Cricetulus griseus: one gene and its partners. The protein of the gene in region 1 interacts with the protein of each later gene in a pairwise test. Links are inferred from orthologs where the notes say so. Each region holds a gene or a part of one and is shown on either strand. Other genes may lie near its edges.

What was found.
Region 2: the proteins of Usp15 (region 1) and Card9 interact in binary tests that used the Homo sapiens proteins (3 or more experiments, as listed by UniProt). The two-hybrid records come from large-scale screens. The link is inferred for Cricetulus griseus from reciprocal best matches to the Homo sapiens genes USP15 and CARD9.
Region 3: the proteins of Usp15 (region 1) and Mad1l1 interact in binary tests that used the Homo sapiens proteins (3 or more experiments, as listed by UniProt). The two-hybrid records come from large-scale screens. The link is inferred for Cricetulus griseus from reciprocal best matches to the Homo sapiens genes USP15 and MAD1L1.
Region 4: the proteins of Usp15 (region 1) and Trim21 interact in binary tests that used the Homo sapiens proteins (3 or more experiments, as listed by UniProt). The link is inferred for Cricetulus griseus from reciprocal best matches to the Homo sapiens genes USP15 and TRIM21.

What each region holds. Positions count from the first base shown.
Region 1 is NW_023276806.1:134,020,043-134,023,612, reverse strand, and holds part of Usp15 (ubiquitin carboxyl-terminal hydrolase 15), read right to left. Parts: intron 830-3,570; coding exon 656-829; intron 1-655. UniProt on the Homo sapiens protein: Hydrolase that removes conjugated ubiquitin from target proteins and regulates various pathways such as the TGF-beta receptor signaling, NF-kappa-B and RNF41/NRDP1-PRKN pathways.
Region 2 is NC_048599.1:137,744,272-137,747,841, reverse strand, and holds part of Card9 (caspase recruitment domain-containing protein 9), read left to right. Parts: coding exon 1-63; intron 64-508; coding exon 509-646; intron 647-842; exon of another isoform or gene 843-1,418; coding exon 1,419-1,723; intron 1,724-1,801; coding exon 1,802-1,981; coding exon of another isoform or gene 1,982-2,065; coding exon 2,066-2,209; intron 2,210-2,535; coding exon 2,536-2,661; intron 2,662-3,570. UniProt on the Homo sapiens protein: Adapter protein that plays a key role in innate immune response against fungi by forming signaling complexes downstream of C-type lectin receptors.
Region 3 is NC_048597.1:76,648,367-76,651,786, forward strand, and holds the end of Mad1l1 (mitotic spindle assembly checkpoint protein MAD1), read right to left. Parts: intron 1,098-3,420; coding exon 939-1,097; 3' UTR 525-938; downstream 1-524. UniProt on the Homo sapiens protein: Component of the spindle-assembly checkpoint that prevents the onset of anaphase until all chromosomes are properly aligned at the metaphase plate.
Region 4 is NC_048596.1:96,827,368-96,830,464, reverse strand, and holds the end of Trim21 (E3 ubiquitin-protein ligase TRIM21), read right to left. Parts: intron 2,887-3,097; coding exon 2,342-2,886; 3' UTR 530-2,341; downstream 1-529. UniProt on the Homo sapiens protein: E3 ubiquitin-protein ligase whose activity is dependent on E2 enzymes, UBE2D1, UBE2D2, UBE2E1 and UBE2E2.

The DNA of each region.
Region 1 (3,570 bases):
CCTTATTATTCCCTTTATTAGTAACCTTTTTCATAAAGATTTAGTTTTAATTATGTGTACACAAGTGTGAGTTTGCACCTGAGTGCAGATGCCCATGGAAGTCAGAAGAGGGCATCAGATCCTCTCCAGCTTGAGTCACAGAGGCATTTCTGAGCCACCTGATGTTGGTGCTGGCAACCTGGGTACTGGAAACTCAAGTCCTCTGGAGAGGTAGGAAGTGCTCTTAACTGGAGCCATCCCTCTCCAGCCCATTTCCAGACATTAAGAAAACAAAACCACTCCAGGCGTTGGTGGCGCACGCCTTTAATCCCAGCACTCAAGAGGCAGAGGCAGGTGGATCTCTTTGAGTTCGAGGCCAGCCTGGTCTCCAGAGCAAGTGCCAGGATAGGCTCCAAAGCTACACAGGTGTCTCAAACCCCCGAAAGAAAAAAAGAAAGAAAGAAAGAAAGAAAGAAAGAAAGAAAGAAAGGAAAGAAAGAAAGACAAAAACAAACAAAGAGCCCTAATCACCCACCCTGTCCTGTGCCCTGTGTCACATGGATGGGATGACACTGTAATGGGACATCATCCCTTTCACCTTAGTATTTTTTTCTTTTCTTTCTTGATTTTCTGGGGACAAGAGCACACTTGCTGAGAGTAAGCTTATCATACTCACCTTAAATGCTCTAGGAGTGACATAGCTGAACTTTCCAGACCACATCTGCTTGATCAATTCAGCATATGACTTAGCTATTTCACCTCTCATTCCTAAGGGATTGTCAAAATTCAGCTCTTCTTGGTACTTGTCATTGAGGAAATATTCAGTAAGTGGAGGTGTGTTGCTCAAACACTGCAAGGAACAAAATACATCTTAAAGTAAAAGTAATAACATAAATACATAATGTTAAAATGAAGAGTGAATCAAATCAATTTACTCTATCATATACAGAAACAAAAATGGTCTCTTGTACTAATTAACTGTCACTCAAATGGGGCACTTACTCATTTCACAAACTTTCAATCAGTTACTTATAATAAAAATACTAATGTGTGTTGCTGCAAAATCTACATTTAATTCTGACCACAGCAAACTACCTGTTAATTGGGAGAGAAGCTCGGAGTTCTCTTTCCTTCTTTTACTTGATTGGTAAGAATTATGGATTGTCTAATCATCCCAGGCACCTGAAAATGAGCCTGAGCAGGTAAAAACTGAGATAGCATGCAAGAAAAAAAAAAAAATCACTTAAAAGAGGTACAGATGGTTCATGATATCCATGGCCTCAATTCAATTACAGATAGGAGAATATTTGGGAAAAAAAGTTACATTCATACCTAACAAAAGTTTTTTGATCATTATTCTTTAGCTGGTAAAATGTAAAGGCACTATAGGCAAGCTAGAGATGATTTAAAATGTATAGGAGATACCTAGGTAATGTGGTAATTGTAAGTCATTTAATATAAAACACTTGTGTATCAGCCGGGCATTGGTGGTGCATGCCTTTAATTCCAGCACTCGGGAGGCAGAGGCAAGCGGGTCTCTCTGAGTTCGAGACCAGCCTGGTCTACAAGAGCTAGTTCCAGGACTGCCTCCAAAGCCACAGAGAAACCCTGTCTCAAAAAACCAAAAACACTTGTGTATCTGTGGATACCATGACAATGACTGTATTTACTGCTTCTGCAGCCAATGCCTTATCATAAAGGAGTTTTTAAACCTGTCATCTGGCTGGCAGTATTTATAAATGATAGTATTGACCAGTAAAGCCTAGGAAGACAACTTTGGGCAAACCCTGTTTTTTTTTTTGTTTGTTTGTTTGTTTTTTTGGGGGGGAGTTCGAGGCAGGCTTTCTCTGTGGCTTTGGAGGCTGTCCTGGAACTAGCTCTTGTAGACCAGGCTGGTCTCAAAGTCGAAGAGATCTACCTGCCTCTGCCTCCCGAGTGCTGGAATTAAAGGCGTGTGCCACCACCACCCAGTTTACAGTTCTTAATACAATAACAATCCAATTTTCTTTTATGAGAAAATTAAAAACTGCAACAAAGTTCTCCAACTTGTTTTTTATTTGAATCAATTCCTGATAAAACATTTAAGAGATGGTAGAAACACATTTTCCCACAATATTTTATCTTATGATGGAATAATTTTAAATTGATGATGTATATAATTTGACCTCAGTAGGAGCCATGTTACTTTACTAATGAATGTTTCAAATATGTAAAGTGTTACATACAGTATAATTATCTAAGTCATATAAATAGCCATATATACCTTTTTATGCAAGAATGTATTTTTCTTGGAGTCAAGTGACAAAGTGCTAGAAAAGAAATCAGTTGCGTGTGTGAAACATTAAAAAAAATCATTCTGTTCAGAGTTTCAATAGTCATGGAAATCAAAGTTTTGGGGAGCTGGTATGCAACTAAGTTGCATAAAGTTAAAAAGGCTTTGTAGTGATGTTCAACATGCTGGGATTATGAAGATAGTTTAAATTATGACCATATTATGTAGTCTGGTCAAAATACCAATGTAAGCATATTCTTTTACTTAGTTCTTTCAAGTAAATTATGATACTCTTTTTTTTTTTTTTGGTGTCAACTATACTCACTTATGTCTACTAAGTCATCATAGTTATCTATAAAATCTGAATGTAGTCTAAATTGGTAGTCAAGCCCCAACCCTCAAGAGGACCTTGGAAACTTTGCAGGCCTTGAGAGTCCTTTACATTTGCTTCCAGTATTAAAAAAAAAAAAAAAAAAAAAAAAAAACAACTTTGTATTAAGAGAAAATACATAGGGAGTTTATAATGTACAAGGTAATTAAGGGAAAGGATACATTCTTTTGATCCCAAATCCTTTTATGTCTCAACAATCATATATCCCACTTGAGTTTCATTTTCTTCTTTTGTTTGACATTTCACTTTTAATTGCAAATGAAGCACTGGAGGGAGGGCCAGGCAATAGAGACCTCATTAGAAGAACACAGCTGCAGTCACCTAGCAGCACCCTCTCATTTGCCACAAGTAGCAAAGGGGCAGTAACAGCAATATATAACTAGCTCTTAGTTTCCAAATCTTCATATTTGATTTGGTTACCATTATTAATAATTAATTAATAAAGTCTATTATTACACTTATACAAATAACCAAATTTATGGCTTTACCAAATAGTTCAAAAAATAAGCGGTGCTAACATGAATAATTTCTGAACATTATTTTTAATAAATTATTCATGAGTATTCTTAACTTGCAAGACCTCCCAAATACAACTAAAAAAAATTTTAGCTCTCTACCAGTGATCTTTTAAGCGTGTTTAATATTACTTCCTTACACTCATCTTAGAACCCAGTTCTCAGATATTCCTCTGACAATAAATGAATGCCTTTACTTCTTTGTGCACTGACAGACAGTCCCTTAACTTCTATGCTTCCTCTCAATGCCACACAACTTCACCTATTTGAAAACTATCTTCTCGCCATATTAGTTCCATCCTCTAAATGAGATTCGGGTATCCCATCTGGGATGTGCTCTCAGATCCTCAATGTTTCCTACTGTGCTTGTATTCTGCTTAGTGTTCACTTTCATTATAGCACTGGTTTTATGA
Region 2 (3,570 bases), on another chromosome or scaffold:
ACCCCGATGATGAGGAGCAGGTGCTCAGTGACCCCAACCTGGTCATTCGCAAGCGGAAAGTGGGTGAGGGCTGCTCCCACACCAGCAGGGCTGTCCCTAGTCCCTCATGGTCCCCACAGACACCTGGCCAGAGGCTGCTACATGCTGTGCCGCCCTGGCCTTGTCCCCACCCAGCTCCATCTACACCTAGGATGTATGCATGAGAGCCTTCTCTCCTCTCATCATGCCTACCTGCTGCTACCCAGAGGAGGGAAGGGGAGTTCCTACCATTGTTCAGGCTGTGAGAGAGCCACAAGAGTGAAGGCAGCACCTTACTCTGCCTTGACTGAGACCTGCAGGGTGCCTTATGCAATGCCCCAGATCCCTCTGCTAGGAAGGGCCCAGAAACGAGGGCTGGGGGTCCACAGCTTGGCACCTCTACTCAGAGCAGTCATCCACTGTCCCACCTGGGCCCCAGAGCTTCTACATACCCAGACCTTGGCCTCAACTCTGTCTCTTCCATCTGTAGGTGTGCTACTGGACATCCTGCAGCGGACAGGCCACAAGGGCTATGTAGCCTTCCTTGAGAGTCTGGAACTCTATTACCCTCAATTATACAGGAAAGTCACGGGCAAGGAGCCAGCACGAGTCTTCTCCATGATCATTGGTGAGAGGCACAGAGTGGGTGGGTGCTGTGAGTGCAGTCAGGTGCCACCAGGTCCTGGCTTCTGTGATTACATCAGAATGAATGAGTCTAATACAAGCCCTGTGGTACATATCAGAGTAGTGGTACCAGTGACTACTCTCAGGTGCTCAGGGTCAGGGCTCCCTTCTCTGCCTTTCCTACTCCCATCCTAAGAACATCCACTAAGAAGAGGTGACCCCTCTATAAAGTATTAATTCCATGGGGCCCAGTTACCACCTAAGGACAGAATCCCACAGTTTCTAGAGGGGACAGAGGTGAACTGATGGAATAGCCACATCCCTATCAGTCCACATCCCTATCATTCATCTCATAAAGATCTTTATAAAGGTAGACAGAGGGCCAGGCATGCTGGCACACACCTTTAATCCCAGGGAGAAGCAGGCAGATCTCTGAGTTAGAGGCCACCCTGGACTACATAGTGAGACCTTTTCTCAGGGAAAAGAGAGAGAAAAAGAGAGAGAGAGAGAGAGAGAGAGAGAGAGGGCCAGCTGGAGTCCTGGCATGTGATAAGTTAGAATCTCAGTCAGTTCATATGTGAGGGGCAGCAAGGCAGACTGGGCCTGGTGAACAGTCCCCAGGGAGCCTTCCCACCAGCTTTCTCTCTGTGGAAGACCAGTAGTGCTCCCTCTGCCCCTCAAACTGCTGGTCTTCAAGCACATACTTCTGGACAAGGACAAGCACAGGGTCTGCAGGTGACAGCCACAGGCTCCATCTGACACTGCATGGTCCCCAGATGCATCAGGGGAGTCAGGCCTGACGCAGCTGCTGATGACAGAGGTCATGAAGCTGCAGAAGAAGGTTCAGGACCTGACGGCACTTCTGAGCTCCAAGGACGACTTCATCAAGGAGCTTCGGGTAAAGGACAGCCTCCTGCGCAAGCACCAGGAGCGTGTGCAGCGGCTCAAGGAAGAGTGTGAGCTGAGCAGCCGAGAGCTGAAGCGCTGCAAGGATGAGAACTATGACCTGGCCATGCGCCTAGCACATCTGAGTGAAGAGAAGGGCTCAGCGCTCATGCGGAACCGGGACCTGCAGCTCGAGGTGATCGCTTGTCCCACCAGCAGGGGGGTGGGGGTGGGGGTGTCTGGAGGAGGCTGCTGCTGACTGGACCACCCACAGGTGGACCGGCTCAGGCACAGCCTCATGAAGGCAGAGGATGATTGCAAGGTGGAGCGAAAACACACCCTGAAGCTCAGGCATGCTATGGAGCAGCGGCCCAGCCAGGAGCTGATGTGGGAGCTGCAGCAGGAAAAGGACTTGCTGCAGGCCCGGGTGCAGGAGCTGGAGGTCTCTGTACAGGTAGGGCTACCAGCAGTGCACACCAGGGGCACACCAGATGGTACAACTGCAATGGCCAGGCTTGTTGCCCTTTGCCACCTCCAGGAGGGCAAGCTAGACAGGAACAGCCCCTACATTCAAGTGCTGCAGGAGGACTGGCGCCAGGCACTGCAGGAGCACCAAGAGCAGGCCAACACCATCTTCTCCCTACGCAAGGACCTCCGCCAAGCTGAGGCCCTCCGGACCCGGGTGAGAGGGCAGGGCAGGCAAGCAGTACCCACTGGGTATCTGGAAGGCAGGGTCTGGAATGTAACTCACTGTCTCCCCTTCACCAATTCCTGGTGCACAGTGGTGTCATGTCCACAGCTAGGGTCATCCTTTCAGTTTACCGTGTGATCGGTGGTGGCTGAGGCCATGGTCTCAGACCAGGCAAGCCTGCTGTGGCCTGGGACTGCAGTGCCCTTCCCATCATCCCGGCTAGCCCGATCTTGAGTGCTCTGAAGGTGTTGCCTGAGTCCAGCCCAGGGCCAGGTGAGCAGTGGAGAGTGGGTGAGGCTGAGTGGTGCTTCCTGTAGTGCGTGGAGGAAAGGGAGATGTTCGAGCTGCAGTGCCTGGCCTTGCGTAAGGATGCCAAGATGTACAAGGACCGGATCGAGGCTATCCTGCAGCAGATGGAGGAAGTCTCCATTGAGCGGGACCAGGTAGGTGTTGCATTTGTGTTCAGAAGATGAGAATGAGAGGAGTGTTTGGGTGCCGGTGTAGAGGCTTTTGAAGCTGTGGTCAACTCATTACTTTATCTATCTATCTATCTATCTATCTATCTATCTATCTATCTATCTATCTATCTACCTACCTACCTATCTATTTATGCCTGAGGTAACTTGGCAATGTTGAAAGATAGAACCTGGAGCCTCTTGTACAAAGACAGGAACATCTGCCTCTCTCACAGGAAGGGCCAGTGTAGCAGGGGAGTCCCAGTGGCGCCTGTGCTGGTTAGGGGAAGGTCAGGGTTGGAAACTTCAATAGAGGAGAGGAAGTTGCTAGCTACACAGGTGGGAGGTGGAGGCCACAGTATTGGGTAGAAGAGCTGGTGGTAACCCCCTGGAATAGGCAGCAGTAGTAGTAGTGGTAGCTCATACCTGTACTCCCAGCATTTGGAGGTTGAAACAAAATAACTACTGTGAATTCAAGGCCAGCCTGGATTACACAGTGAGTTCCAAGCCAGTTTGGGCTACAATGGTAGACCCGGTCTCAAAAAACCAAAAACAACAAAAAGTAGTAGCAACTGAGCCAACTTTGGTGGCACATGCCTGTAATTCCAGGCTTTGGAGGTAGAGTCAGGAGGATCAAAAATTCAAGGCCATCCTCAGATACATAGTAAATTTTAGGCCAGTTTGGGAAATGAATGAAACTGTCTCCCAGGAAACAAAAGAAGAAGCATGGTATTCATTTTAAGAACAGCCATCAATCATGTTCTTTGTTTGTTTTTTGTTTTTTTGAGACAGTGTTTCTCTGTGTCATCTTGGCTGTCCTGGAACTCACTTTGTAGACCAGGCTGGCCTCCAACTCACAGAGATCCGCCTGCCTCTGCCTCCCCAGTGGTGGGATTA
Region 3 (3,420 bases), on another chromosome or scaffold:
CAGGCAGAGCATCCCCTCGGTGTACCCGGCCTGCAGCAGTCCCAGGTGGGCTTCCCATCTGTAAGCAGCGCACCGGGATGATCATGGCGGTATCTCTGCTCGAAGGAGGCAGACCCTGCCTCTCTGAAGCCCCAAAAGGGGCTTCCATCCTCTACCTTAAATGGGTCACATACACACCTGGAACCATGCCCAAAGGGAGTGACTACTGTTCATAGGCAAGATGCTGCTATAATTAGCCTCTGGACCTAGAGACCTCAGGCAGGGGAGAGGCAGGTGGAGTAACCAAGGCAGGGAGTTGATACCCAGGCTCTGGTGGGATGGGACACAATTGCTTCCCTGACCCCATCCACCTCTTAGTCCACACCTAGTTGTCCAAGCATGGCAGGCTGTGCGGAGAGACCTGCCCAGGTGTCCAGTGGAACATGGCAGGTGGTGTGGTGAGGCCTGCCCAGGTGTCCAGGCATGGCAGGCAGTGTGGTGGAGTCTGGGCAGTGAGGTAGCTTGGTGCCTTGGAAACAGACGGGGAAAACGATAAAGATAACACTTTATTTCATTAGGCTGAGACTGCAGTCTCAGGCCACAGCCTGGCCACCAAAGTGGCCTCAAGCAACCAGCATATGGGACTGGAGGCTGGTGTGGGGCCACCTTGGGACAGTGCAGGGAGGGGCTCTAAAACAGGAGGAAGAGGAGAGGCCCAGTGTTTGGGACAAGAGAGGAGAGTAGTAGACTGTGATCTGGCTTGGTCGTCCCTAGCAGCTGCTCCTGCTAGCTAGGGACTAGAGACGGAGAGACAGAGTGGCTGCTTGAGCAGAGGCTCTGGCTAGTGTTTGTGGCACGATGCAGCTATAGGTGGCAAAGGGGTCTGGGGACAATGTGGGGTATAGGCTAGGCAGAGGTCCAGTGGCTGTAGAGTGAGGATGCCTGCGGGCAGATGGAGGCTAGATGGAGGTCTGGCGGCTGAACAGCTCGATGGTGAGGGCGCTGAGGAAGGCAGGAATGCTATCTTGCTGCAGCAAGTGCAGCTCAATGAGCTCAGGCACTGAACGGGAGAACTCCGTCTCCAACAGCTGCATCTTGGAGCCTGAGGGTCCTGTGGCCTGCAGGAGGAGAAAAGAGAGGGGCATCAGTGCTGATTGTTGGGCAGGTGTCTGCCCTTTGTCCTCACATGCTCCCAGTGGAGGGGGTGAGGGCCCAGGAAGGCTGTACTCCTGCCATCGCAAGAGCAGCCTGGGCTAGACGGGCACTGGCCTGCTTCTGCCCGATGCCCATTGAGGCAAAGCACGAGGTCATCCGCAGAGGGAGCTGAGATTCACAGCAGGCAGGCAGTCTTGCCTCAATAGGATTTGGATTCTTGGGGGCTTCAATTCCAGTCACCAGCTCTTCAGCTGTCACATGCTTGACTTGGGGAGGCAGAGTAAGCCCCAAGCATCTTCCAGACTGTGAAGCCAGGATGCTGGGTATTGGCTGATGGAGGTTTGGTCCTGGAAGGGTAGACTCTGGAGCCCAGACTGGTTCTTTCCCTGTTTTCTTATGTCACTTATAACTGAAGGGAGGGCATAGTGACTCTGTGATGGCTGTGATGGGGAGGTGGGAGTGGAGCTTGCAGGTAGGCTCAGAGCTGCAATGGTACACAGCTTGGCCTCCCGGGGCATGCCCAGGTTACTTGGCTGTTTGGCCAGGCTGCCCTCTTACCATGTAGGCTAGGCTGGGAGAAGCAGACAGAGGCCCTGAGTGAACCTCCTTGTAATCCTGAATTTCCCTGCTATCACTTATCCTGGGGCCTCCCCTGCCAACTGGCCCAGGAATGCTGCAGTGGCCAAAGATGTAGAAGGCCTGCTTGACTAGGGAAGAAAAATTCCTGTTTACAAGGCCAGGCAAGAAGTGGTCACAAACCCACTCTGGATTGCTCCCAAACCTTAGGTCTGATGTAGAACTGGTATCTAGCAAACCTAGAGCCCCTCCTCACTCAGCCACAGAAACAGGACCCGGCTGGGAGGCGGGTATAGGTCAGACTGGATGGTTCTCCAAAGAAGAAGCAGGAGGGTCTGATAAAGTTGGTGGGCTTATGGGGTCATCAGGGCAGATGTCAGTCAGGCCAGAGCCCATTAGGAAAGGTGGATGAGGAGGAGGAGAAATCAGAAGACCTGGGCATCATTGCAGGAAGCTCAGGTATTATGGAAAAGCCTGGCAATTCCTCCGTTATGACCCATTGGTACCCCTCCATTGTGCCCTCAGAACATGTAAATACATGTATCCACAGTAAGATGTACATGGGATGTCCACAGTGATATGATTCATATGTACACACACACACACACACACACACACACACACACACACACACACACACACACACACTCTTTAGCCCTGAAAAGGAACAAGGGGACAAGACATGATGCATGATAGCTCAGGGTCAACTTTGAACATAGTGATGCCATTGACATGAGGCATCCATACAAGACAATATGTAGAGGTAGGAGGCAGATTGGTGTGGACCAGGATGAGAGGGGAAGGGAGTGCCTGCTCCAGTGATAGTGTTTCTCTGTGGATTAGCCTGTGCCAATGAATGCACAATGGATGTGCTAATGAGAACCCAAATGCATGGCCACCGTGAAGCCAAGGCAGGGATGAATTTGTTCTGAAAGGTCCCTTCCTGCCAGTGGCTCTGCAGGTGCCTCTGTTCCTGGGAGCCATACAGATGGTCAGTCTGCTCCCATGGGTCCTGGCAGCCCATGACTACCACTGACTCCCTAGCATGAGCAAGAGAGGACCTGGGGAGCAGCCTGTGCCCCCAACCCCTCCACCTCCATCCCTCGTGGGGCATCAGGGCATGTGAGGTTTTGTCTCAATGACTCCCTGAGCTGTCTTCTGACTTGCTTGTTACCTGGGTTTTCCTCCTGTTTTCTCACGTGGGTCGACCCCCAGCCTGTTCCCTTGGCCCTTATTACATTTGGCCTTGTCATAGTTCAACACAAACCATCTTTAAACAAAAATAAGAGAAACCACTCTGACCTTTTCTCGAGAAAATCCTTTCATTTCTCCCTTCTGCTCTCGACTCGCAATGTTTTTCCCGAAATGTCAGAGGGGCTGACTCTGAGGCGGCTGTTGGGGAAGGAGCAGGCGGAGCTGTGGGGGTAGGAGCAGGGTGCCAGGAGAGCCTCCAGGGTTCTTTCCTGTCCCCCATGGTATGGGTCTCCTCAGCAGGAGATGTCATGCCTCTTCTGCACCCCCCCCCAGGTGTAGGGGTGTGTGTGTGTGTGTGTGTGTGTGTGTGTGTGTGTGTGTGTGTTTAAGTGTGGTATTAGGGGTGGAACCTAGGGCCTCATACGAGTTAGAGGCAAGTACCCTACCACCAAGCCACACTCCCCAGCCCTTTCACTGGGGGATTCTAGGCAGGGGCTCTACCACTGAGTCACACCC
Region 4 (3,097 bases), on another chromosome or scaffold:
TCCTGGCTAGAACTGTGGGCTCTTCAACTCCATGGCCTGGCCCAGAGCAGCTATTAAACACTCTCTTCCACTGGAAGAATCCCAAGGCAGAATCCGAAGTCCAAGAGAGGACATAGCCTCATTCTGGGTGTCAGAGAAAGTGACTTACATCAAGACAACCCCAAACATCTAAAATGCTCTTAAATGGACTCCATTGTGATCAGGGTGTTGTTGGAAGGCCAACCTGAATCCATGGGCGTAAGAGCTGTAGAGGGGAGGAAAGAGCAGGGAGGAAAGCTCACTCTTTCTTTCTCACTCTTACACATAAAACAGATGCAACAACAATGAAAACCCATGAAAGTTAAGGGAGGACTATTTGTGGGAAAGACAGAGGATGATGCTGGAGGAGTGGTCTTGGAGGTGGATGTGAGCAGAGCGCATTGATATGTTTGCACAAAAATGTAATAATGAAACTTACTGTATGCTTACAAAAATCTATGAGAAAATGAAATATCTGTCAGGTTTTGCTTTATATCTTGAAACACAGAAGTGTATTTTAAATATTCCCAAGGAATTTATTTACTTATCAAAACATTTTTTACCAAACTTCACACTAGCTCAAAGTTCAATTCAGTGTTTACATCTCACTACTGGTGTCTCCACCTGCATGCATTCCACAAAAACATCTTTTCGACAAAACCATGTGACCAGCAGTCACACGGTGAACCCCATGGTCAGCCTCTTTGTTCCCCTGAATGGACAAGCCACTGCTTGGCTACAAGGTCAAAGTTTGATCTCAAAGTTATTGACAAAGGAGGGGGTGCAAAATGTTCTTTTAATACAAACAAAACCCATAAGTGTCTTTCTTAAGAATGGATAATAAAAAGGAACAGCACTGTTAAACATGTTTTGGAATGAAAGAAATACAGATGTTTTCTTCTGGCCCAGCTGTTGAAACTCTTCTTGTTCTACTCCCAGGCCTCTTCATTGGGTACCACAAAGTCTTCACTTGAGGCTAGAGAATGTCTATAGTCCTCTGCCCATCCTCCTAGCCAGCTAGCTCAATGATTCTTACAGCTTTCTGAGGTAGGCATTTCTCTCCTGTTAAGTCTTCAGTAGTAAGCTTCAATATTCTGACCTGTTGCACCAACTGGACATTTTTCATCCTAGTTGCCCACACCAGGATCCTTTCACACCACCCCAGGTTAACCTTTAGTCATCAAAGTTCTGTGTTGAAATGGGTCTCTGTGAGGCTGCACTGCGAGAGCTGAGAGGCTTCTTCAGTTTGAGTTGGAACAACAAGGGAGCAGCTGCAGTTTCTTGTTTCTAGCAGCTGCTGGGTCATAATTGTTTCCATCCATAGTGTATAGAAAAACCTCTGGAATTACTGACTGAATTAAAAAAAATCATCCTGGATTTTCTTTATTGTGCATTTATCCATCCTTCTTAAATCTGCTTACAGCATTTTTGAAGCTCTGGATATATTTGTGTTCCAGCTCAGCTACTAATTGCACTTTCTTCAAGGCAATGGAACCAGGGAAGAGCACACCTATAAACTGACAACTGTCAGCCTCTGAGCACAACTTTCCCTTTCTTGTGAGATTCAACTGCAAAGACTCACCAGGCTAGCATGGCACCTAGACTTTGGCTGTCACTGGGGACATCAAGTATACTGTCATTGTTATATTTAGCTGTTTCCTGAACCACTTTCACTACCCTGGAAGATATTCCGGGGAGGGAAAACAAACAAACAAACAAAACAACAAATTAAAAAAAACCCTCCAGCAACAACAACAACAACAACAACAACCAGAAAAACCAACCCAAACCAAAAGATATACAATGTTAAAGACACATATTCTGGGCTTTATCAACAAGGACTGAGACATAGTTTCCTAGGAAGCCCTTCTGCAAGCCATGGAAGATACAGGAATAGCTACCTGGCCAAAGGTAATAGCCAAGAAATATAGAAAAGAAAACAAAATAGGCCATACAAAGGAGGCAGAAATGTGATTTTGACTGAGCTAGATGAATTTGGTCCATTGTGAGGAGTTGTTTCACTGGAGGGAATCATTAAGGAACCTATGTTAGGAATATTGATGTTGAAAGTCAGTTGACATTGACTTTCTGTTATCTCCATCTAATGCCTTCATTCTGGGGCCCTGACTCCTCTAAAGAGATGAAGGTGTGGGATGGTTCCAACTGGATGGTCAAAAAAGGCAGAGCATGGCTGAGGAACACCAACAGGAAGTGAGTAACAGTAGCCAGAAATGGCCTCCAGTAGTCATTGGACCTTGATCATGACAAGGAGGAGGTAACAAGTGTCCAGAAGGTGCTGTCAATATGCACCAGCTCCTGATCATCACATCTTTAGTGGGCAGAGCTTTAGAGGTGCTGCATTGCCTCCATCATCATTGAAACCAACATTAAAGAAGGGCCGTAGAGGTCCAGCAAAGGCACACTCCGAGAAGGTGTAGATGAGGGAGCCATGGTCAGTGATGTTATAGAAGGAGACAATGCCAGCTTCATAGTCTACAAAGATCCCAACTTGGCATGGAGGCACCTGAAGGTGGAGGGTGGTCTGGGGGTTGGTGCCAGCCTCATAGTTGTCTTTTTTCCACAGCCAAATGGTCCAGAAGCCATTCTCAGGACTGAGTGAAAAATGTCCCTTTCTCCGCACAGATTCTCTGCAAACCCCCAGATCCCAGGCCTCCTTCCTGGTCACATCTACCTCCCAGTACATCTTCCCAGAGGTGAATCTTTGGGCACCTAGCACCATGGGGTAATTATTAAATCTCTCATCATTTTCAGACACATTCTGACGGCTATCTCCAATCCTTGCTTGTCTCCGATCCTTTGGGATAATGAGCCATGGGTTGGCTGTGTTTCTATCCAGAGTAATATGTACTGCAGAAAGAAGATCACAGGTAAGCCTGGGTGGGGCCAGCAACTCTTTGCCTGTAGTGAGGGCATTCATGCAAACTCAAAGGTGAGGGGTGACCCTGAACCTCACTATGTGAGGAAATGACCCACAGCAACCCAGGTACTTCCTCTGACGTGTGAGGAAACCTTACCTGTGTGTCTGTACTACACTTACATTCTCTTGACACCTCTTCCA